Daphnia pulex: one gene and its partner. The protein of the gene in region 2 binds, or shares a complex with, the protein of the main gene of each other region. Links are inferred from orthologs where the notes say so. Each region holds a gene or a part of one and is shown on either strand. Other genes may lie near its edges. The genes, in order: pre-mRNA-splicing regulator WTAP-like and N6-adenosine-methyltransferase non-catalytic subunit-like.

Region 1 (12,280 bases), on a different chromosome or scaffold from region 2:
GCAAGTTCACGTGTTATCTTCTCCTAATCAAAAATGGTGTTGGGTTGCTTCCGAGAACGATAATTTAAAAACAAAACTAGTCTTTACTTCTGAGTCTTGCTAGCTTTTCGTTGGATTGTACCTATTCTGATGTTTCCTCTGTATTCTCTTTTTTCTCATGCTGCTCTTTCTGGTACCTAGGAGGAAAGGTGAGCGACGTTTCATTTTTCGTCTCGATGTCGTTAAAGCTTAAGAGAGATTGACCAATTGCATGGCTTAACTTACATGCGATGTACTTTAGAACGAAAGTATTAATATGGCTATTGCAAGTTCAACTTATAGTGGTGGGTGAAATTTCACCCACGACTGTACTTTACCTATCGTGCACCCGAAATTGTCATTCAAGCCTAATTGTTTCATTCCTGCTAAAAGTTGCGATTTTACACCACGTAGTACTGTCTTTCAGAATTATAAAACTCCCTATCAAAGAAGGAAAAACAAATTGAATGACGGTTTGATGTGTGCAAATATCAACCAAGATGAATATACTTGTTTGCTAGTCCTTTCGGAAAACCATTCCGCCACAAGTTTTTTTTTATTTTACAAAAAGCATGCTATTCGACCCGCACTCGATATCACTCGCCAGCGAATGTTCTCCGGAGGCTTTCGGAAAACTTTACGTTTCAAATTTGCCAGTGCCGTCAAGTTATTAGACGACAATCAACATTCACTTTAATAATCTTGAAATACCCGAGTCTAATTCATGTTTTTGCATTCTTTGTTTTGTTTGCTATGTGGTTGATGTCATCGCAGAGGATGGATTGGCCGACTGCCCTCTATAACGCGATTGTCACACTTGAAGCGAGGAGCAGCTTCTATCCGCCACGTTCTATACATTTGTCCAATTGAGCTGCCGGAGCAAGATCACGAAACGGGAAGAACGTCGGTAGCAACGAGAACAGGAAACTTACCGCTTGGAACAGGAACGACTACCACTGATGCTGACGACTGGCTTGAGTACGGCGCGGCTGAGTTGCAAACGCGAAGCACTAGACGACGATTGGAGGCTCGATACAACGTCCAGGCCGAATTTCTCCAACCAGCTGGATGGATTTCTCGAACACCAGAGGGCAAGTTCGTGGTTGCCGATGAAGGTGCTCGGCAGATCCATCCAACTTACGGCTCCTATTCACCAGCTATAAGTCCCGTTGTCGAAAGTGGAGTTTACCGAATAGGTGGCGACCGACTTATCTGGCCACGACCGAAGCCAATTTTACGCAGGGAACTAAGCCCTGTACCACCTACTAGTGGTATATTGCCGGCTATGATATCTCCACCGACTAATTATCCGTTAGCCATGTCATCCCATCCAACAGTAACTTCTCCCCAATTCGGCCGACACGCAATCCCGTCGCAGCCGTCATCTCCTCATCATTTGATACCTGGCAGTCGCCAAGAAGCGATTAGATCTAGTTCACCAGGTCCGGGACTCCTACTATCCCCCTCTTTAGCAAACTTTAGCGACATGAGTTCGGTTCGTCATCCTAGCTCAGCAGAACGATCTTTGCATACCACATTCTCGTCTCGCCTTTCCTCTTTTCAAAAGCAACAGACACCAGACTTACCTCCGCGTCAAAACAGGCTCAACCGTTTTTTCCCATCTGCTGTCGCTCTCTCCTCCTCCGTAACGCCAAATAATAACTACATCCACGAGCTTCCTGCCCTTCTACCGATTCATCAGCAGCTGATTGTCCAGCAGTCACCCAGACGACAAGTCTCACCTCCACTAGAGACGATGCGTACTGTTCGCGCCGAAGTCCATTCGACTGAGACACCTCGCAGTGGGTCAAAGCAACGTGTTCAAAACGAGTTCGGCTTGCTCCTGAATACCGCCGGAAGGCATTTTCACGCTCCACCTCCTTTTCGACCGCCACCGCCACCGGTTTATCATCAACTTCCGTATACAATTTCATATCCGTCATCGTTACAGCGGCCACTGGCAACAAGTTCGCCACCACGAAGTCGTCATTTCCCTGAAGGTGCTGGTCCCTTTCCCACAGGAAACTATCCTCGACGTACCGCCGATCTTCTTGGTTCACCCAGGCGACGTTCACCGCTAACAATAGCAGTTCGACTGAGTCCATCTCGGACGCAGCAGCGAATGAGTGAACGAAGCCGTAGTCAAATAGTTGAGTACTCTCCCCAAAGCCAATCGAGTTCGAGCGGATTCGATAGTAAAAACACATCGCAACAAAATCAGAGTTCACAGTCTGGATCCGGACAATCACAGCTCATGGCTACTAACTTCTCTTCTTCCACGCTATGGGGAACGTCTCCACCGAGCCAAATAACTTCAGGCGAATCTACTTACGTCAACTGGCCCGTCAAAGCACTGGCCACGCCTTCTCTATCTCTGCTGGATGCGAGTGTCGATAACCACTACGAATTCGACACGACGCAAAGTCCAAACGAGACGGGGCTACAGGATTCTACGCTTCATACGGCTACTTTCATTCCACCCACGACAACTAGAGCTGTTGATCTATCCACAGATTCCTCTGGACCTGGACCAGGACGCCATAGAAAGGTTGGGCCAATACCGGCACGGTCGGAAAACATTGAAGCTAGGGTTCAAGCCATGAAGGAAGAATTTCAAGAATATCGGAAACGAAGGGCTCGCGGACTACTCGAAAGTGCGTGTTAACTTGTGGTTCTTAAATAATGACTGAAATTAGTGCTAGTTTTTTTTTAAACATTGAATGCCAGAGACAGGAAAGAAAACGAATACTCATTACTTTCAAATTACGCTTCATTCCGCGATCGCTGCATTCCGCATCCTATTCCTCCCAAGTCTCAATTCGTTAGCTATTTGATTATGAACGTATACGTTGTGTGAATGATAGCGTAAATGTGTGCATGCGACTTGTCGTGGTGAGTGTGCTAAATGCACTATTTATCGTGAAGAGATTGATTCAGCAGATAAGAAAAAACATGTATGAACTAAATGAATGAATGTCATCGAGTAGATTTCCCACTGCCAGTTGCTACTGTAATTAAATTCCAGAGAAAATTCATTCTTGTTCAAATTCATCTATTATCTGAGTCTTGATTATTCAACTTCATGCGTAGACAATTAGAGACAGCAACATTCCCATGGAAGATAGAAACTCTGTGGTAAAATTCGTAAACATGACTCGCTCACTCCTACGATTCATTGCTTGCTCCTTCGATTTAGCGCACTTTCTCATTGGATTCTCTTATCAAACTGTAAATCCAATAGACATTTGTCAACCTCGTCTTTGATTATGTATATGCGTGCAAAAATGCGACTCAGAAATAATCTTGTATGGTGTACTAAACATGGAATCATGATGTGCGAGTGTCATCCTAGATTAAGAATATTTCGTTTCATGCCAGAATCCTGTTTCTTTATTAAAAACAGAAACCCAAATGAATGGTTCTGTAATGTTTGTCTTACTTGGTTTCTTCCAGTACAAATTGGAGGCTTGTCTCACCCTTCACATGTGTTTTAAGTCATTTATTTGAAACACCTCAGACATTTTTTTTTTGCACAACTTTTCAGCCAAAACACATAAATCAAGAAACTACCCATCGCATTTTACCAGACAATGCCTGCTTCACTCTGGCTTGTTCAATATCCTTGACTGAAAAAAAAAAACAAACAAAAATATATATATTAATACGTTTTTTTTCTGGCTTCATAACGACTTGGGTCTCACTTGATTGTCGTCGGTTAGATCGACCGTACAACATCCTATGACGAAAATCCTTTGGAACACTGGAGCCTGGTTTGGAAAACTTATTTTTCCACTTCCTTGATTCAAGAACTGCAACACTAAAGTCAGATGATTCCACTTCTCCCGTTTCCAATGGGATGTAATGTTCTTTTTCAAACCCTAGTAATTGTGCAATTTATGAGACAACAGATCATTTATTTTAAAAGCTATCGAAAAATACTTATATGACCACTGGAGGCATTCCCAGATTTAGTTCTCTTTCTTTGCTTTTTCTCAGAATCTTGTTGAGATTGTTGTTGAACAGGTTGAGCTGAAATGACGTCCACTAAGTTATCAGGTAACCTTTTTGAAGCCAAAGACTGAAGGGTTTTAGCTTTCTGTTCTTTCATCAATGCTTCTTTTTTCTGTCTTCGTTTTTTTTGTTCTTCTTTAGTTATGCGTTTGAACTGTTCCTCTGCTTTAAGTATTGAAAGAGCTGCAACTTTTGATTTACTAAAGGATACATCATCAGGAGCTTCATCTGAATCTGACGCAGAGTCATTTTCTTCAACAGCTAGATTTGTTTCATCTCCTGGAAAGAAAAATAAACACTTTGTTGTAACGAGAAACACACAAGTTCCATCAAAGGAATTAAAAGAAATGAAGTACCTGCTGGTATGTTGAAAACCAAATCGCTGTCTTCTGGATCTGGGCAATATTCATACTGCACCGAAGCCATCTTATTTGTATTAAAAAAAAAGAACTTTTATTTTCCACGTTGTGCGAGTGAGACGGACAAGGACAACCAGACATGTGTCAGTACTCAGTAGCAGACAATATTCCGCGTTATTACAAGAATTTGACTAAACTGCGGGTTTACGGACATACCGATGGTAATGTGCGGGGTTAAAAGAAGAACTACTGCTTCTGGTGCTGGTGGGCTGGGGGCTGGCTGGGGGTGGGAAGGTACTTCGAAACTTTTCTGAATACACAGTTGCATTCACAGCAGAGGGATATTGCATTGTAGCCGTAGCTATCATCAGATTTTGAAATTGAGTGGAGACAAGTGTTAATGATCATCGAGCATCAAGCTGTAAGCACGTTATAATAATGGGTGAAGTGGAACGATGCTCTCCTATTAGAGTTTTATTAACTCATGAAGAATTAGTTAATCTTGACAAATCCCAATTACATCAGCAATGGATGAAGCAGGAAAACTACATTAATTGGCTGGAGTCACAGCTATCAACTGCTCAGAATGGTTGGCTTATTTTCTACATTCATACCAGTTTCTACGGTAGCTTATTTGTTTCATTCATTTAAATTACTATCAGCATTGACTCCAGTACGAGAGTTTGAAGAAAAACTTAAACATTCAATTTCATCTGAATCTGGAAGAAGGGAAAATTTTCTTTTAATGCGTTTGAACTCTAAAGAACAAGAAATTCAAGATCTAATAGTAAGTTTAATGAAAATGTATTTGATCAAAATGAATGCAATCACATTCATCTTAATGAATTTTCAGAATTACTGTGCCATTTACTTATTTTCACAAATTATGACAGGTCCAAATTCAAGAACTGAAATCATCACAAGCTGGTAACTCAACATCCTTGAGGTCATCACTGTTAGATCCATCAGTCAATGTTCTAATCCAACATTTGCGTAAAGAGCTTGATAAAGCTAAATCAGCATTTGAAGAAACTCAAAATGAACTGAGCGCTTGGAAATTCACTCCAGACAGGTTTTTCTTTATAGTAGTCTTATTCTATCTTAAGTTACTAACAGCTCACCTCTCTATTCTAAATTTTATTGTTGAAAAAACTTATAGCAATACTGGGAAACGTTTAATGGCGAAATGTAGACTACTTTACCAAGAAAATGAAGAACTAGGAAGGATGATTTCCTCTGGCAGGCTGGCTAAATTGGAAGGGGATTTAGCTCTTCAGCGAAACTTCAGTGAGGAGATGAAGAAATCTCAATCAGGTGAATTAATTTTGTTTACTATATTTCTTTAATTTGATTAAGTTTTGTAATAAGAATGCCACAGTTATGAAATTTGATTTGTTTTTTCTGTCTCAAATGAAGGATTCATAATTTGTGAATTGATTCGTTTCTAGAACCAAAACTTGTTTTCTCAAAAGTGCCTGAATCTTATCATAATTTAAATGTACTGTACTGACTTATCTTTTAATTTTAGCATTTTATTTTTATTTTTCAGAATTAGATGAATTCTTATTGGAATTGGATGAAGATGTTGAAGGTATGCAATCAACTATTTATTTTCTACAGCAACAGTTGCGCCAAACACGGGACCAACTATCTGCAGCTCAAAAAGAAAATGAACTTCTTCGTAATACCAGCACAAACACGGCCAACACAGGCGCAGATGAAGAAAAATCCCCGGTAAACTCTTCTCAATCGGAAAATCAGTTAAACGAAAGGATGTGCGAACCTTCTTATTTGCAGTCGAACTCTTCTCATCTTATGAATGATAGTGATCGGTGTAATGGCCCTCTTCAGCCATCTTTTCACAATGACTAACTATTACTTTAAACTTACCTTTCGTAAAACGTCAAACCTGATTCGATTACGAGTAGTTGGTTTTAATTTTCGTGATGGATTTTCATCGTTTATATCGGGTCTTGGACATATTGTAATCCATTATTTTTTTTTGTGTAGACTTGATTTTTTTATTGCCAATTGTAGTGTACGAGTAAGTTAATACGACGAGTAAAATTTTCTTCAGATCAAACAGCCTTATTATACACTGCGATTGAAGCTGCAAAATTAGTAACAGTTAGTTATAGGCTCGTATCCTATAACTTATTATCTTATATTTCCTATTATTATTATTTCCATTTATTATCCTACATTTTTAATTATTATGATTTTCAATCGTGCCGAAATTTTGATTCGATTTTTCGAGTTTTTTGGGCATATGAGAGGATTGTTGAGAGGATGTTATATTGGTTTTTCCCAGTATGGCGTCATATTCTTCCAAATTTTGCGCGATTCTTTAGTCATGAAGCTTAAATGGCTAAATAGCGATATCTGAAATAATAGATCCTAGCCACCGGTTTTTCTCTTTGGAGCACAAATTCATCGCATAAAAAGCCATTCGGGAAATCGTATGTGTGTGTGTGACATATACGCATTCTCGTTATGAACTTTTTATGAACAAAGTTCTACTAATGAATCGTGGTATTTTTACGATTTCATAAATTAGACTTTACAGATGTAATATCTCACTTTCTAATAATAATAGAATACCTACAATTCGTCAATTCCAGGTAATAAAGTGCGAGTGTGCGACGTGGGGTGGCAGGGTGAAATACCGTCTCGAGCAACTCATCGAGCTTTTGCTAAAATTTCTAAGTGTTTCAAGTATATAAATGAAGTTCAGGACTGAATCTGATGTGATTTAAAGTTTTTTTTATATTGGTTTCTTTTTATTTTATCTTTAGATTTTTTAGTTCCTTTGTTGGATTATTTATCGCGATTTCAGAAATCGCGCCACATTGGTTCATAATTCGACCGCTGAATTTGAATTGGCATTGTCATGACATCGTAACAAGCATCTCAATCTGGTTCTGGAGCGTCTGACTCCCTCCTGAACAACGTGGGAATGTTTACACAAGTGTAGGCGTGTAGGATGTAAAATGTAATCGAACTTCTCACGCTCTTGATTGGGGAAATATTGATATGGTTATTTTTGGTTCCTCTCGTGCCGTCGTTGTCTACGATTCAAATAAGTTATGTGTCTTGCACAGTGCTCCAGCTACCCGAACCCGACTCAGCATCATTCGACTACCCAGCCAACTTGAACTACCCCAGGCCAGCTCTCAATGCAGCAGGGAGTTTCTTGAGGACGACGAGATCATGATTTAGTGAGGAGAATATGTTGTGAGTATCGAGTATTTTTCTTTTGTCTTTTTTTTGTTATTGTTAATTCAATTCATTGTGGATTAGTGTGGATTAGCTAGAACAGGCAACCTTCGATCGTTTTTCCTGGTTTTTCAGCTGTCAAAAGCACCAACTTTAAATACTTTTATTTTTCTTATTTCTAAAGTCATTTATTGGAGTTATTGTGCAAAATTATTTGGGGTGATATTTGACCGTAAGTGCTACAAAGCTCACTTGTTAGATTTTTGATAATTTGCGTTTATATTTACTTCCGATTTCTAAATCAGTTAATAGCTCAGTAAGTTTTCATGTGACACACAAATCAACCCATTATTCATGAATCGTGATCCTCGTCAAATTTGGGGTCGATTTCATTTGTTAGTACAAAATGTCGGGAAATCGTCAACAATCGAGAATTTTCCTGATTGCACTTACGTCTGGTACGAATGTTGCGTGACGAAACCTCTCTTCAGTGTTCACAATCTGTTGGATCGATCACACAATATTGGCCTCTATGTAATTGATCATGTGTTTGTAACTTGGATAAGATTGCAGAGGAATATTTTCATAAAAGCCGACTGTCCTTCAAACGGTTCAAAATGGAAGTTTATTCATTCACCGAAGAAACGAGTCAAATTATTCAAATTTCCATTGGTATAAAGAGAGTTTTAAGCTATAACCATTTAAGTTTTAACTTAGTATTCATTTTGATATTGGTTGTTGTAGACCCATTCCCAGCAACGACAACCTGCAGAAGGAAAGGCACGTAAAACTTGTCATGCAGAGGTTGGGTGAGAACGACACGTGTTACATAACCATTTGGTATTCATTTTGATATTGGCTGTTGTAGACCCATCCCCAGCAACGTCAACCTGCAAAAGGAAAGGACAGTCACACTCGAAGGTCACGGAGAAAAACGTGTCATGCAGCGGTGTAGGAGGTTGGGTGAGGACGGACTTTTTGCATCATTATCAAACAGGTACAACACCCGCAAGGCTTTAGAGGTGAGGGTGAGAAAAAAAATCGTATAAAAGGCGAGAGAAAAGGCGAAGGGAAATCAGTCGAGGGAGCATCTTCGACACGGCAACAACTACAGCGCTCTGTCTGTCAGTTCGCATCCATGGGTAAATATTCTGTCTTTTACATAGAGTTTGTTATCAATCCTTCTTTTGTTTATGTATGCCTGTTATTATGTAATATTTATGTCAACATTTATAATTGTCTAGCAAACTATGGCGTAGTGCTGCTGTTGTGTGTTGAATCATTGATGGCTGGGTTGACCACTGGTGTAGCGATGTCTCCTTGGTATGGCGGATACCAAACTGCAACGCCACCGCCTTACTACCCAAAAGCGACTTACGCAACGACCAGTTACTGCACCGAGGTCTTCAAGTACTACACCGTTAAAGCACCGGACTTGAATAGCACAACTTACGCTGCCCCGAGCCACTACACTGACGGCGTGAAGTATTACTGTGCCCCGAGTTACTACACCACCAAGGCGACGGAGGATGACTACGCATGCTGCCCCATCCTCCGAGGCTCATACACCGAGGCTCCTAAGTATTACTCTGTTCTCATCTACATATTGTACCGATTTTCAATACTACTCTGTTCCCAACTGCTACACCAAGGCTCCCGCTGATTACTACACCGAAGCGGCAAAGTACTACTCTGCCCCGATCTACACAACCATAACTGAGGCGGCCAAGTATTACGCTCTCCCGACCTACTGCTCAGAAGCTGCTCTTTCGTACTACGTTGAACAGGAATACTACACTGATGCTCCAGTTCACTACACCACGACCTACGCTACACCGCAGCCCCAAGTACTACACCGAAGAAGCCGCCTACAACAACGTATGCTGCCTAGTACACTACACCGAGGCTCCCAAGTACTACGTCACTAAGGCACCGGAATTCTACACGTGTATGTATCTACCCCTGCCTACTACACCGAGGTCCCGCATTACTACAACACTGAAGCGCTCAAGTACTACACTACAACCTGCGCTTCCCCGAGCTACTACACCTACGTCCCGAAGTATAACTGTGCGTAAAAGGAGTCTTCAAAACAAAAAAGTGCCCGAACTGCAGTGCCCTATCTGTCACCAACTGCTTTCCTCATCGTGTAACCGATTCGCAATTATGGGTGAATATTCTTATTTTTACACTGAGTTTTGTATCAATTATATTTTTTTCTATTTGGTAATATGCCTGTTAAAATTAGTCAACTATGGCGTCGTACTCCTGCTGGGTGTTATATCATTGATGGCTGGATCGACTGCTGGTGTAGCGATGTCTCCTTGGTATGGCGGAAAGCCGGAAACCAAACCGCAACGCTGCCGCCTTCCTACTCAACTTACTGCACCGATGTCTTCAAGTACTACATTACCAAAGCACCGGAGTTTTATACCACAATTTACGCTGCCCCGAGCCACTACACTGATGCCCTGAAGTATTACTCTGCCCCGAGTTACTACACCATCTAGGCGACGGATGACACCACATGACTACGTATACTGCCTATCCTACTACACCGAGGCTTCTAAGTATTACTCTGTTCTCAGCTACTTATTGCACCGATTTTCCTAAATACTACTCTGTTCCCAGCTGCTACACCGAGGCTCCCGCTGATTTCTCCACTAAGACGGTCGAATACTACACCGAAGCGGCAAAGTACTACTCTGCCCCGATCTACACAACCACAACTGAGGCGGATAAGTATTACGGAGTCCCGACTTGCTACACCAAAGCTTCTCTTTCGTGCTACGTTGAACAGAATTACTACACTGATGCTCCAGTCTACTACACCACGACCTACGCTACACCTAGCTACAACACCGCAGCCCCCAAGTACTACACCGAAGAAGCCGCCTATTACACAACTACGTACGCTGCCTACATCGAGGAATTTAAGTATTACCCTGCTCCAAACTACTACCAAACTGAAGTTCATATTTATTGCAATTCTCCCGATTATGTCACCACTACTCACGCTGCTCCGACCTTTACACCGAAGTTCTGAAGTATTTCTCTGGATGTGTTGAAAGATTGCTGAAATACAAGATTGATAAATAACAAGTCTGTCTATTTTCACTTATGTACCTTTCCTGCTGCTGATAATTGAATGATGTGAGAAAATATTTTGAGTGCTATGTAAACTTACAAATAATTGCTCTTGCATAATACAACAATGAAAATTCAAACTCATGTTCTACATTTCAATATTATTCAGACTTACCTTTTTATAAATTATTTTTCTATCATTAAAATTCAAATCAAACAAAGATTAACAACCTATTTTTCTAAAAATATCAATCATCCACCCTATTATTTCTGCTAAGTCCAGACTTTTGTTTTTGAAAAAATTTTTAAAAAAATTCCCCTTACACTGTTTTTAAAAAATTTTTGCGAAAAATTTTACTCGAATATTTTATTGCAACAAAATTTATTTTATTCGAATATTTTATTTCATACAAAATTTATTTTATAAAATTTACATATTTATTTTTCCTGTGGCCCCCAGGGGGGGGGGCCTGTCGCTTTCTCTACCGCGATAATAATATGATGCAAGTTATATGCAAATTATTATTTGTTTGGCGCAGAAAGCTTGTTTAATCTAGCAGTTCTCGACTGTGTCAAACCTGATATTGATCAGGTTGCCTCAGTCGTATACTGCATGATTGAGTGAAACTCGAAAGACAACAGATCAAACTTATAAGTCAGCACACAGTTAACACAGAGCAATTTCATGGCATGGATGAAAACGACAACACAAAAATTTTGAAGTCAGGAACCCAGATGGAACAGCTCAGCTACAACAGCACAGCAACTTCTGGATTACACTGCAACCGCATGCTGCATACAACAGTTCAATCTGTCTTCGTCACACCTTTCACCATTTGGCTGCAACAAGATGAACAAAGAAGTGTTTGTTATACCTGTTTAAGAAAAGAAAATTATTTTCGAGAAACACAACTGTGTACACATGCATCCTCATTAAACAAAAGAATACAAAGAGTAACAGAAAACTACGCAGTCCAACAGAATAACTTTGATATCTGATTCAAATTTGCTATAGTATCGGAGCAAATTGGTCTACTCTCTAGTCATGTTAACTAAATCTGTAGTACTTTTGCAAGACAGTTGATCAAAATAATTACTTTTTGCTGTTAATGGGATGAGACGTACGCCTAAGAACAGGCAGCGAGACACACGAGGCTCGCCATTTCGGGAATGTACAGGCACTTCCAAGTCTGAGTTGAATGATTTGGCAAATTCGTTTCTACATTCTAAATCACCTGTAAATTTTCAAATCAACATTTTACATTCAATAACAATAGGAAATTAACAATAAATACCTTTTAATTTTCATCGTGAGAAACGTCACAACCAACAACCCATTTCTGCTGCGTCTTGGAACAAAATGGCCCCTTTGCTTCCCTGTCCCTGAAGACACTCGCACCACCTGGTGGACATTATTTCAGCCACTTATTCACAGCCACCTACTGACAGCCATTAGATTCCTGTTCAAATGACTGGACGCAACGGCTGGATTGCTTGCTTCCAGAGACAGCACGCTGCACGCAGCAGCTCAACTTGAATTCGACATGCCTTTCGGCTTTCACTAGCTGGCACGAAATGAATCTAATGAG
Region 2 (12,241 bases):
TTTCCTTCCTCATCAGAATCATCGTCAAGAGTGAATTTAGCGGCAGCGGCGGCGGCTCGGCGATTGGTTCTCTCTCTGTTAGAAAAAGTTTACTTAAATCAATTCTTTGTTCAAAAAAAATTTTAATATAAAAACGTGTTTTTACCTAAGAGGTACGGCTTTTTCCAATGCCAGGTCGAATTCGTCTTTATCTTCGTCTTTTTCAGCATCTTTATCACCTTTCTTGGTTGTGAAACTCAGCTTGGTCTGCTTAAATCCGTCATTTTTGCCTCCTTTCTTTCCTTTTGCTCCTTTGACTGGGCTAACCCCTAATTTTTCACCCAAAGACTTGTTTGAGTCATCGAGAGCAGCGTCAAACGAATCTCGTTCAACTTCAGGACTTTCTTTTTTCAGCGCCTTTTCTTTCTTCTTTTCTTTGGCGATAGTGAGCTTTTCAATCTTTTTGCGCAATTCATTATCGATGACTGGAACGATTCGCCGACCTTTAGGAGAAGGAGCAACTTCAGCGATTAACGCCTTCTTCCTGCCTTTCGCCAGTGGTGCAGCTTTGGTTGGTTTTTTGTTTTCATTCAACTCTTCCTGCTCAGCATCTTCAACCTCCTTTAACACCACCATAAAATGATCCAGATCTTCCCGCCACAAATCAGCCGGCGATTTTTTCAAGAGGATGTCATATTCCTTCATCTTGATATCCCGTTTCTTCAACAACTCTTCTTTCTTTTCGTAGGTAAGAGAGCGCATGGGCATGTCAAGCAAGTAGTCGTAGTCGCCAATTTTGACAGCACCTTCTTCATTCTCCGCATTGGTTTCTTGCTCCTCTTCGTTCTCCGCATTTATGTTGTTTTTTTGATTCTTTTTCCAGATACGAACTGGATCTGGATCATAATTTCTACGACGCAATTCCTCCACCAAAACTTTAGCCTACAGATGGGAAAAATAACGAAAATATTTTATGAATAAGTTCAAATAAAAACGTAATAAATCCTGCTAACCTTTTTGTTCTCGACAATCAAGACATTGTCACATTTCTCGCAAATGAATCTGGCTTGATTTGAGAGCCTTTGAGACTCAGCTTGAAGTACACCGGACAAGTAATCTTTTCTTTTCCCATAATATCCAAGACGGACAGTGAAGAATTCTTTCAAAATATCTTCAACTGTGTCGTACATCTTGAGACAGCCATTAGAGTCATACAGCACCATGGATGTCAGGGAGTGTGTAGTCTGGAGTTTAAAAGCCTTATGCAGTCCCTCGGCTTCTGCCTGTTGCATCTTTTCTTCCGACATGGTAACGATAAATCGCACAGTTGTATCCGTATGGTATTCCTTGTAGTCAGTGATAAGGGGCGGGATTTTCTCTGAGCCGTGCAACAAGGTCTCCATTACGGATTCCTTGTAGTTTTGAGTCCAGACACGTAGAGGAAGTTCCGTAATTTCCATTTCCGTACCGCTCAGAACTGCTAATTCACCGCTGATAGCATATCGGTGGCGATCAATCCTTTCAATAGTACCCCTGTAACCTGAATAAGTAATAAATATAAATTATTTTTCTTGGTAATCACTTTTTTACATTCCACTCAGTTACCTTTGAACCACGGATCCATAGGGATGGGTTCTTCGCCGTCTAACATCCGCTTGACATTAGCAACGACCTCTCGTGGATTGTAATTCAGAATCTTTGTCATCCAACCGGTACCGATTCCGTCAGTTCCGTTGACCAAGATCATAGGAATAATCGGAGCATAATATTCGGGTTCGATGCGTTGGTTATCGTCCATTTGATGTTTCAACAATGGATCATCGTGTGGGTGAAAAATAATGCGAGTCAGCTTGCTCATCAAAGTGAAAATATAACGAGGGCTGGCAGCATCTTTACCTCCCTGTCGATAAAAAAAGGAAGAGGTTAATAAATATCGTCAGGCACAAATTCTTGGGGAAAAAATACCTGGAGGCGAGTACCAAACTGGCCATTGGGAAGAAGCAAATTGATATTGTTGGATCCGACGAAGTCTTGAGCCAAACCAATGATTGTGCCCATCAAAGAAGCCTCGCCGTGATGGTATGCCGAGTGCTCAGCTACAGAGCCAGCCAATTGGGCGACCTTGATCTCTTTCTTGTCATTTCGCTTGATGCAAGTAAAGAGGACTTTACGTTGCCCAGGCTTGAAACCATCCATGAGTGAAGGGATGGATCGTTCGTTGTCCATGTTGCTGAACAGCACCAATTCCTTGTTGACGAAGTCACGGTAGCTTACTCGTTTGGTGTCTTTTTCGTACAGATAAAGCTCAGGCAGTCCAAGTTCACGGCGCCTCTTGCACTCCTCCATCCAAGAAGTTAGCCACTCTTTGCGCTGTTCAATGTGCTTCTTGCTGAAAGCCATCAAAATAGCGTAGTCATCTTGGTCTCCATCGTGGTGGAAGAGAATTCGATGTCGCTGCATGTCGGAAAAGTAACCTTTTGCTTCTTGGGACGTCGAAGTTCCCAACCCCTTGTAGTACTTGATACGATAGGTAGGCCAGTTCTCTGTATTGGTCTTCCATTCTTCAAACTCGGGCAACGAGTAGAAGCTTAGTGACTTGGCTGATGCCCCTGTTCCTTTGGTGGCTTTGACAATGGGTGTGATGAATTCTTCAAGGAAGGGTAAGCGCAATAGTGATGGCCAATTATGGTGCAAGAAGTTGATGAGCAGGCCTTTAATGTGAGAACCATCCTGATCCTGATCAGTCATGATCATTAAACGACCATAACGAAGTGATTTGAGATCTTCAACAGACTCGTATTTCTTCTTGTACTGCAATCCAAGGATCTTGATCAAATTGTTGATTTCGGCGTTCTCCAGAATTTGTTTATGTGTGGCTTCCCGCACATTGAGCACCTTTCCTTTGAGAGGAAAGACACCGTACTTGTCACGGCCGACCACACCAAGACCAGAAACAGCTAGGGACTTGGCTGAGTCTCCCTCAGTTAGAATGAGAGTGCAGTCGATCGAATGTTTTGTGCCAGCATTATTAGCGTCTTCTAGTTTGGGGACGCCCTTCAATTTTGTTTGTTTCTTGCCACTACAAGCCTTGTTCAATTCAGTTTGCGCCTTAAACTTGGCCCAGGTCATTACACCTTCTATAACGCCAGACTTGTTGAGCTGCAAAGGAAAAAACATTTTATATATACATTAAGAGAAATAACTTCAATTATTTTTGTTTTCTTACCGCGTTAAAAAACTTTTCGCTAGGTTTGCAAGTGGAACCAAAGCTTTTGGCCTGGAGAGTCATGTTTTCCTTGGTTTGAGAATCGAAAGTTGGGTTGACGATTAAACAGTTGACGAAAATCCACAGGTGATTCTTTATCTGATGAGGTTTGACATTAATGCCACTCTTGTTTTTCTTTTTAAGAAATTCCTGCAAATATTTTGATACGATCTCAGTAACGTAGTCAACGTGTCGCCCGCCTTTAGTAGTTGCGATTGAGTTTGCGAATGAAACTTGTTGGAATCCTTTGTCGGAAGGAGCTACCGCAATCTCCCAGCGTTCACTAACAGCTTCATACACACATTTAAGTTGAGCTCCATCATCATCTTCTTTACCCTAAATTGAATAATATGGTAAGCTTGTTTCTTTATTATAATCAATGAAAAATGTATCAACAATACCTTCAGACAGAGATCAACGTAGTCCTTGAAATTCTTGATAGGAAGACGTTTGCCGTTAAGGAAAACTTTCACGCCACGAGTTGAAGCGGCTACATCAAAAGCACGGCGAGACAGAAGAGCAACTGTGTCCTTATCCAGGGAATCCATCTACCATAAAACATTGAATGTAATTTTTTTATAGGAATAAAATTATACCAAGATGTTTACTTTGAACTTTGCCAGATCAGGGGAGAAAGTGATTTGTGTAAAATCTGCTTCATTGTAGTTCACGATCTTGGGAGTTCCAGCTTTAGTCATGTTGTCAGTCCAGGTTTGCTTGAATTTTTTCTTCTCATCTTTAGATGCTGTTTCCAATTCAAATGAAGTGCTGAAAATGTTGCACAGTTTTGCACCATAACCATTTCGACCACCAGTTACTTTTTCTTCTTCATCATTGTAGTTGGATGAAGTAAGTAAGTGGCCAAAGATCAGTGAGGGAACATACATCTTTTCTTCCTTGTGTTCCACAACAGGAATGCCTTTTCCATTATTGTAGATCGTGATGACATTTTCTTTCCTGAAAGAAGCAGAAACCACGATTAAAAAAACTTATAACACACCAGCACATGTTTAAGCTTACGGATCAATGTCGACTTTAATGGTATCCATCTTGGAGTCTCTGACTTTGTTGTCTGCAGCATTGACGAGAATTTCATCAAAGATCTTATACAGTCCGGGTACGTAAGTAATTTCTCTCTGGATCATTCCAGCATCTTCTTCATAAACCCACATGACATCTTTAACAGGTTCCACTGATCCAATGTAGGTATCAGGCCTAAGCAAAATGTGCTCAAGCTGACTTTTCTTCTGGTAAATTCTTTCGACTGAAAGTCTCTTGTTGGCTCCATTCTTCTTGCCAGCATCTCCATTCGTGGCAGCCTCAGATGCAACAGTACCTTTGTTCATTTTTGCAAACAAAGACTAAAAAAAAAAAAAAACAATATGTTAGATCACACTTCACATCAAGAATAGTAAGACGTCACGTTTTGGATCACAAAATTTCTTTCAAAACATTCATGTTGTAACCTTGAAAGCATGTGAGTTTCATTCAACAACTACCTTTAATGGCCCATCAGAAGCCATCCTTGGCGAAAGTATAAGCTTAAAATTCGATAAAAGGGACAGAATGGCTATTTGCCTAGGAAATTATACACTATGACAACCACTATAAAAAAACGCCGTTTAAAATACTGTCGACGCGTCGAGTGAAACTGAAATTTCGAAGCGACTTTTTTCGAACCAACGGAAACGTTGAGTGAAACTACAACGTTGCCACTCGGTACCGCCAAGTCAAAAAAATTTATTTGTTTCTCATTGGTTGTTAGAGATGTCTAAAGGGGTTGGGAAACCCCTTACTGTTATACTGTTACATTACATTGGTTTTTTTGGTACAATGATTTAATTGATAAATTAACACTTGACAACACAAAACAAGCTTACCTTTTCCTGTTGACTTTAAAAAGCCAAAAAATAAGATTGTCTGCGACTCAGATGAGTACTTGTGCTTTAACAACTTTGTAAATTTGTGAAGAAAGCCGTACTACTTTGTGAATAAATAGAATCTAAAACAACGAAAAGGTGCTTTTTCGATCCTTTTCCGTGTAGAAAAACTCTCAAACCATGCTGGTTGAGCTCTAATGTAATGTCTTTGATTGTTTCGCTTCAGTTTAGAGTGAAAAGGGCGCGTTTCTCTCAAAGATTCGAGACACTGACGGTACCTCTCTGCTCACTTTTAACACAGCGTGTAAATTTTGCCCTTGGTAGATACTAAACAGCAACAATGAGGAATCCCGCTGATCGCTGATGTGCCGAAAACGAGCCGAAACATCTTTGCCGGAGCTTGCTTTTTCTGTAATATTGTGACATGCAGATATTCAAATGTATTCAGTTTGCATACTTTTTAAAATTTTAATATATTTCAACTTGCAAATGACTTTCGAAATTTTAAATTTTTGAGTTTTGAAATACCGGAGTTCGGCCATGGTTAATTCGGCCGCTGACGGTTTCAATTAATTAATCAATATTATTTTAAATCTTATTTTAACCGATAGAATTCAAATTAAGTGCTTTGATATTTCATGCTTGCAAGTATATTTTGCCCTTTTCATCAAATATCGAAACAAGACATTGATTTACAAGCGGCAACTAAGGTAAATAATAATGGCGGACTATTGAATGGTTAGGGTTTTTAAATGTTTTGATATGTTAAAGGTGTACTCCACAGTCAACATTGAGCACTGTGTCGGTATTTAAGCATTTGATATCTATAATGGCAAATTATGTGGATAATTCCAGTGTACAAGGTGAAATCAATTTAAGTGGCTGAATCAATACAATCTGTATCACTGCCTTCTCCCTTTAGCAGAGACAACTGTCACAGAAGAAGAAAACTCTCTTAATATGGATAAAGTGGACCTTCTAAAACAGAGAAGAGAATTGTCCAGAAAACGGAAACAATGTCTCGTACAGACCGTGAGTATTTATTGTGCTTTAGTTTAAAAATTCACATTTTCAATCTTAGCTTACGTTTTTTTAACCAGTTGGGAATGCAGTCAGTGGAGAAATTGAAAGAGGCATTGGGAAGTGGCACAGATAGTTCCAAAGCAGAACCAGGAATGGAATTACTTAGACCTTCAGAGAAATACATAAAAAAGAATGCTAATGCCGACGGAAGTCAACAAGACGAAGAGACAAAACTGCTTTACACTGATTCGTCAACCTTTCTAAAAGGAACACAGTCTTCCAACCCTCACAATGATTACTGCCAACATTTTGTTGATACTGGACAGAGACCCCAAAACTTTATAAGAGATGTTGGCTTGGCTGATAGGTAAATGATTGGGCAAATCTTCCCTAAAGCAATTACCTACTAAATTAACCATTTTTATAGGTTTGAAGAATATCCCAAGCTCAAGGAACTTATTCGGTTGAAAGATGAATTAATCGCCCAGACAGCTTCGCCTCCCATGTATCTGAAATCCGATTTAAAAACGTTTAATCTCAAAGACATTGGTTGTAAATTTGACGTGATCCTCATTGAACCTCCTTTGGAAGAATACCAGCGTTCTTTGGGTGTGACCAACGTCGATTTTTTGTCATGGGATCAGGTAAATATATATTGAACCACAATATAATGAATGATTGTGAATTAATGGTTCTTTTTCCGCTTAGATTATGGAACTCGACATAGGTGAAGTTGCTGCTCCTAGGAGTTTCATATTTTTGTGGTGTGGTTCCAGTGATGGACTAGACTTGGGGCGTGTGTGCTTGCGCCGATGGGGATTCCGGCGATGCGAAGACATTTGCTGGATAAAAACCAATGCAGACGCTCCGGGTCATTCGAAAAACCTCGAGCAGAAAGCCGTTTTCCAGCGAACCAAAGTAAGACCATTTCAATTTCGTCTAACCAAATGCTTTTACTGATGTACTGATTTTGAGTAGGAGCATTGTCTGATGGGAATCAAAGGAACAGTTAGGCGTTCCACGGACGGAGATTTCATCCATGCCAATGTCGATATCGATTTGATAATTACGGAAGAACCCGAGTATGGATCTCTGGAGAAACCGTCCGAAATTTTCAACATCATTGAACATTTTTGTCTTGGCAAAAGGAGGTTAGGAATTTATTTTTACGGTCACTTCATTAGAATTTTAATTAATAATTAATTTTTAAGGCTCCACTTATTCGGGCGAGACAGTACTATTCGACCGGGTTGGTTGACGGTTGGTCCAGCGTTAACAAACAGCAACTACAACGCAGAAACATACGCTGGCTACTTTAATAGTAACTGTACGACTACCGGATGCACAGAAAGGATTGAAGCTCTTCGCCCTAAATCTCCTCCACCCAAAGGCAGCAAAGGGGCAGGAGGTGGACGCGGAGGTTTTACTCGGGGCGCAGCGCGTGGCAGGGGAAGATGAAATAAGCATTACTTAATTAATTTCTAAGGCATTAAATTGCAAATAAACGTTTTGAGTTTTCAATTCTGTTTTGCAACACTTCGAAAGTTAAGATAAAATTGTGTAACGCATTTAAGGAAATGACGCGAATAGATGATTCTGTTTAAATTACAAAACAATTTGATAACTTTATTGCCATTGGTATCAGGCAAAATTAATATTGTTTGGTAGAGTTAGACAAAAAATTGACAGCTATTTGTTAATTCAGAATAGGTTAAATGAACCGTGGCATACTTGTTAATACGAATAACTTACGAATTGGAAATTTGATTCACTTATAGATGGACCGGCTGTTTTAGCTCGAAAATTTGCGGTAGCGAATAACTGTCAACGTCAATATCGTCAATCCAAATATCCATGCAAAGCTTACTAAAAATCCCATGTAGACATCAGGCATTTCAATTCCCCAACCGCGGGAAAGAATACTTCTCAAACACTCGATGCCATACGTGACCGGTAGGAAACGGGCAACCTTTTGTAATGCCGGAGGCATCCCTTCTACCGGCCAACAAATGCCTCCCATCAGTAAAATCGGGAGAAAATTGGCTTGCGTCAGGTAAAGTGCTCCGTTAGTGTTATCGCAGATGGCAGCGGTAAACATACCTATTGAGATTTAGACAAAATGTATACAATCATTTAAATTTTTTAAAAGAATCAACTTTTTCGTTGTATACCAAAGCATATTCCAATGAATCCTTGGAGGAGGGTAATGAGTAACGCCAGGGCCACACTACCGTGGCAAGGTACTTTGAACATCAGAAACATGACCACAAAAACTGCCGACGTTTGGCAAACCGTGATGCAAAACTGAAATCCAACGTGACCAACAAAAATGTCGACAATTTTCACGCCTGTGGATAGAATGACCCATTAATGAATTACAACGGTGATGAATTGCTTTCAATATCGACGTACGCACCAGCCACTAAGCTACGATCAACGAGACCTTGTTGTCTTTCACCGACAAATACACCGGTAATAAAAACAAGCGACGATGAGTAGATAATTCTAAAAGGATAGAATTAGTTTAAAGAAAATTATGTGCGAAATTCAGTGAACAGACTCACGCTATAATAAGGCCGGAGGACATGGCCTCAGTATACTGGGTATCTTTTCTGCCGTAAACTGGATCTGTAAACTAAAATAAGAAATAGACGACAATTAATTGAATTGTACGAGATGTTATGAATTAATAATCAAATTTGTTTCTACCTCGATAGGCATGTAGCCCGCCTCTGGCTCATGCCCACAAGCTATCAATAAACCTCGGGAAAAATCCCGAAAAGCTTCTACAAGCCACTTGTTTAAAAACGCATCGATTTGTTGATCTGAAAAACCACGTAAGAAAATATTTCCTTATCATTTTTAAAAAAATTAACTCACTAGAAGAATCGATGTTGATGCTAATTCGACTGCGTAAGATATTATCCAATTTTGCCGAATCGCCAAGAGACTGTCGAATTTCATACTCCTCTGTAAAATTCTGTCCGAAATGGATGACACCCCAAACTTCACCATTTCTTCCGGCTTCTAAAGCTTCCGATACATTATCGTACGGAATCTGAACATTGCCGAAAGTATCGTAATTTTATTTAGCTTAAATTTTTTACAGAAAAGTCTACCTGAATAATATTGTCATTGATGTACTGAAGGTAGCGACAGCTGAGCATGGAATACGCGCAATCCATCGTGTTATTGATGCAAACGCGTCCCTGGCTCAGATTCAGTTCATCATTGACGATGGCCATCTTGAGGTAAGTGGGCTCTCCGCCGAGTGTAACATTAAACAGGGCCGTTTGGATAGCAGGCAAGAAAAATGATACTAAAAGTATCCTTAAGTCCCAAAAATAATTCGGTTAATATTTTTAGTGAACTGGTTAATTTTATGCAAATTCTATATACCCAAAATTCCGAATCATCACCAGGGCATTTTTCCTTAAAAGTACACCAATGAAATGAGGTGTCGGCAGTGAAGATTTCAAATTAAAACTTTTACGTTTTCTGGCAACACTTTTGATTTTGTCGCCTTTTTCATTCGGCGTTCGTTTTCCGATTTTATTAGAAGCTTCCGCGCTACTTTCTGAAGGCTGAGGCTCAATTTGAGTTTCGACGGGAGCCGCTTCATTGGAACTCGTTACATCTTCAGCCAATTGTTTGTCTGAACTTCTACTACCGTCCTTCAAGCTAACCTGTAGGAATACATCCTCCAACGAAGGGAGTCCGTAATCCCTTATCAAATTTTCCGGCGAATCTTCGACTAGAACACGACCGCCCCGCATCATTCCAATCTTAAAACACAGAATAACAATTGATGATTAGATTCACAATCTTTTAACAACTCTCATACCGTGTTAGCTTGTCTTGCTTCTTCGATGTAGTGAGTCGTGACGATCACCGTTTTGCCATGGTCAACACTTTGGCGGACAAGATGATTCCAAATGCTGCGCATTGTCAAATAAGAAAATTTGAATGAATGAGAATAGCGATGGGAAATTGAACAAAATTACCTGTGCCTAAGCAAAGGATCAACGCCAACTGTCGGTTCGTCCAAGATGAGCAAATCAGGTTCGTGAAACAAAGCGACGGCGAACGAGACGCGTCGTTGCTGTCCGCCACTCAGCGTCTTGACGTAACGATCACACGAGGGTAGATCCAATAACTTGGACAGAAACTTCAATTGCGATTTCACAAAAGTCGCTTTCAATTTGTAAAGGCGGCCAAAGTATGTCAGTGTCTCCTTGATGGTGAAGTCGCCGTACAGTGCCAATTCTTGTGGCATGTAGCCAACCTGCGGTCCGGGAATTCCGCTTTTAGGCGATCCCGGTTCGTGTCCTAATACTTGAATTTCTCCACTGTTTAAGGTACGCAAAGCGACGAGACAACTTAAAATGGTAGTCTTGCCACAGCCACTGGCTCCCAGCAATCCGTATCTATAACAGTTAAATTTGATTGCTTTTCAAATTAGAAAATTCGACGGAATCTTTGGCCAAATCTTTTGTTTTCACAATTTTCCCGAACAAAACTAAATGAAATGCCACTGAAAATAAAAAGATAAAAAATAATTGTTCCATACATTGATCCTTTTTTAACGGTCATGTTTAATCCTTGAAGAACTGCGCATTTGTTACGTCCAGATCCGAAGGTCTTGGTCGCATTGCGGATTATAACACTGTTGACACCAGAATCACTTGGGTTGTCGTTTTCATTATTAATCCGGTGTGACGAAGCGAACACATCCGCCATTTCTTCGATAATCTCTTCCGTCATGTTTCTGAGAATTGTATTCCTGTGATGCAAATTATTCAACAGATAACACAATCAGAAAATTAATGAAACGAGAATACGACACGATTAAAACATGCGAGATGCAACAAGCGAGATTCGGCTGTGGCAGCTCGGCTGCAATTGACTACGTTTCTCGAGATAGGGGCCAACTAATTATGAATGAAGCTGAACCAAAGCTTTTTTTTTCCTTGGGGTAAACAGGTTTATCAAGTTCCTTTCCCTTTCAGTCCACTAGTCCTGGTTAGAAAATCATTTACAAAAAGCAGCCATATGTGAAATGGCGATGGTCACTCAAACAAGATTTACAGCATTTTCAGACAACAAAGGGGAAAGAAAATAATTAACTTTGATTTCCGTTTGAATGCCCGAAAATTCCCCACGAAAAATTGCAGAAAAAGTAGTAACAAATTCACGTTATCTCTTAGCTCATCTTCAAGAAGGTAACACTTAACAGACTGCAAATTCTTTCACGCAGTTTCTTACAAATTTCTGTTTGAAATCGACAGACAAAAGCGGATAATTTTCTAGCTTTTTTTTGAAAAAAAAAGCCGGTTTTCCAACATTTCACATTTAAAATCAAAAGAGCCGGATCTCTGATGTAGTGTGTGATCTATTTCTGAATTGAAGAAACTGCAATTAATGTCGCCCGGTTTATCAAACAAATTATTTGGTCTAGTTCAATCCAGATGATTTGGTTCAGACAAGTGAAAGTGAAGGCTCCCCAGTTAGTCACAAATCAAACACTCTTTTGGGGGTTGTCATTGTGACCAATGTCGGCATAGCATATGACACATGAAACGAGTATATAGCAAACAAAAAAAACTTGTTTTGTATGTACTTATCTTACTTTCTATTTAGAATATCTGTTCAATATCTTGCTGGTACAATCGGCGTTTTACCAGGGCTGAGTGGAAGATAATTGTTGAGCTATTATTCACCTGAAAAACAACAAAAAAAACATCATTTGAATATTGTCACCTTTCCAGAATAAATAATTAGAAAAAAAAAATGAAAAAAAAAAAAATGATTGGAACCATGCCCTGATTGTAATCACGAAAACGTACACAGTTAAACCAGACACGTGATTTCGAGAAACCCCAGGCAATATTATATACCCACTTAAAGATTTGTGACGCGTTATAATGATTCACGATTTCATTACATAACTTGTAAATTTCTCTGCCTGTCGCATTCTTATATTCAGCTCTGGGACGTTTCAGAGAGATTTTTGCATATTTGCTTTCACTGCATTGCAATGTGAAAATAATATAAGAGGCAAACGAGCAGGTTGTTGATAGCTGAATTCCACATT

Evidence for each region.
Region 1: N6-adenosine-methyltransferase non-catalytic subunit-like (region 2) and pre-mRNA-splicing regulator WTAP-like share a complex: the UniProt entries of both Homo sapiens proteins name them as parts of the WMM complex. The link is inferred for Daphnia pulex from reciprocal best matches to the Homo sapiens genes METTL14 and WTAP.

What each region holds. Positions count from the first base shown.
Region 1 is NC_060020.1:5,266,605-5,278,884, forward strand, and holds pre-mRNA-splicing regulator WTAP-like, read left to right. Parts: upstream 1-4,710; 5' UTR 4,711-4,826; coding exon 4,827-4,977; intron 4,978-5,050; coding exon 5,051-5,175; intron 5,176-5,281; coding exon 5,282-5,702; intron 5,703-5,937; coding exon 5,938-6,260; 3' UTR 6,261-6,466; downstream 6,467-12,280. Other genes in the region: protein turtle-like, read left to right, coding at 793-2,683; uncharacterized protein LOC124193179, read right to left, coding at 3,577-3,644, 3,720-3,896, 3,958-4,308, 4,386-4,455; uncharacterized protein LOC124191909, read left to right, coding at 8,743-8,746, 8,849-9,267. UniProt on the Homo sapiens protein: Associated component of the WMM complex, a complex that mediates N6-methyladenosine (m6A) methylation of RNAs, a modification that plays a role in the efficiency of mRNA splicing and RNA processing.
Region 2 is NC_060026.1:13,574,700-13,586,940, reverse strand, and holds N6-adenosine-methyltransferase non-catalytic subunit-like, read left to right. Parts: upstream 1-5,823; 5' UTR 5,824-5,953; coding exon 5,954-5,987; intron 5,988-6,046; coding exon 6,047-6,156; intron 6,157-6,224; coding exon 6,225-6,514; intron 6,515-6,574; coding exon 6,575-6,791; intron 6,792-6,851; exon of another isoform or gene 6,852-6,855; coding exon 6,856-7,065; exon of another isoform or gene 7,066-7,125; coding exon 7,126-7,298; exon of another isoform or gene 7,299-7,358; coding exon 7,359-7,605; 3' UTR 7,606-7,668; downstream 7,669-12,241. Other genes in the region: DNA topoisomerase 2-like, read right to left, coding at 1-75, 146-921, 993-1,519, 1,585-1,879, 1,945-3,138, 3,206-3,580, 3,646-3,792, 3,853-4,201 and 2 more; ABC transporter G family member 20-like, read right to left, coding at 7,940-8,247, 8,319-8,495, 8,564-8,652, 8,712-8,782, 8,857-8,972, 9,028-9,205, 9,267-9,477, 9,547-9,932 and 3 more. UniProt on the Homo sapiens protein: The METTL3-METTL14 heterodimer forms a N6-methyltransferase complex that methylates adenosine residues at the N(6) position of some mRNAs and regulates the circadian clock, differentiation of embryonic stem cells and cortical neurogenesis.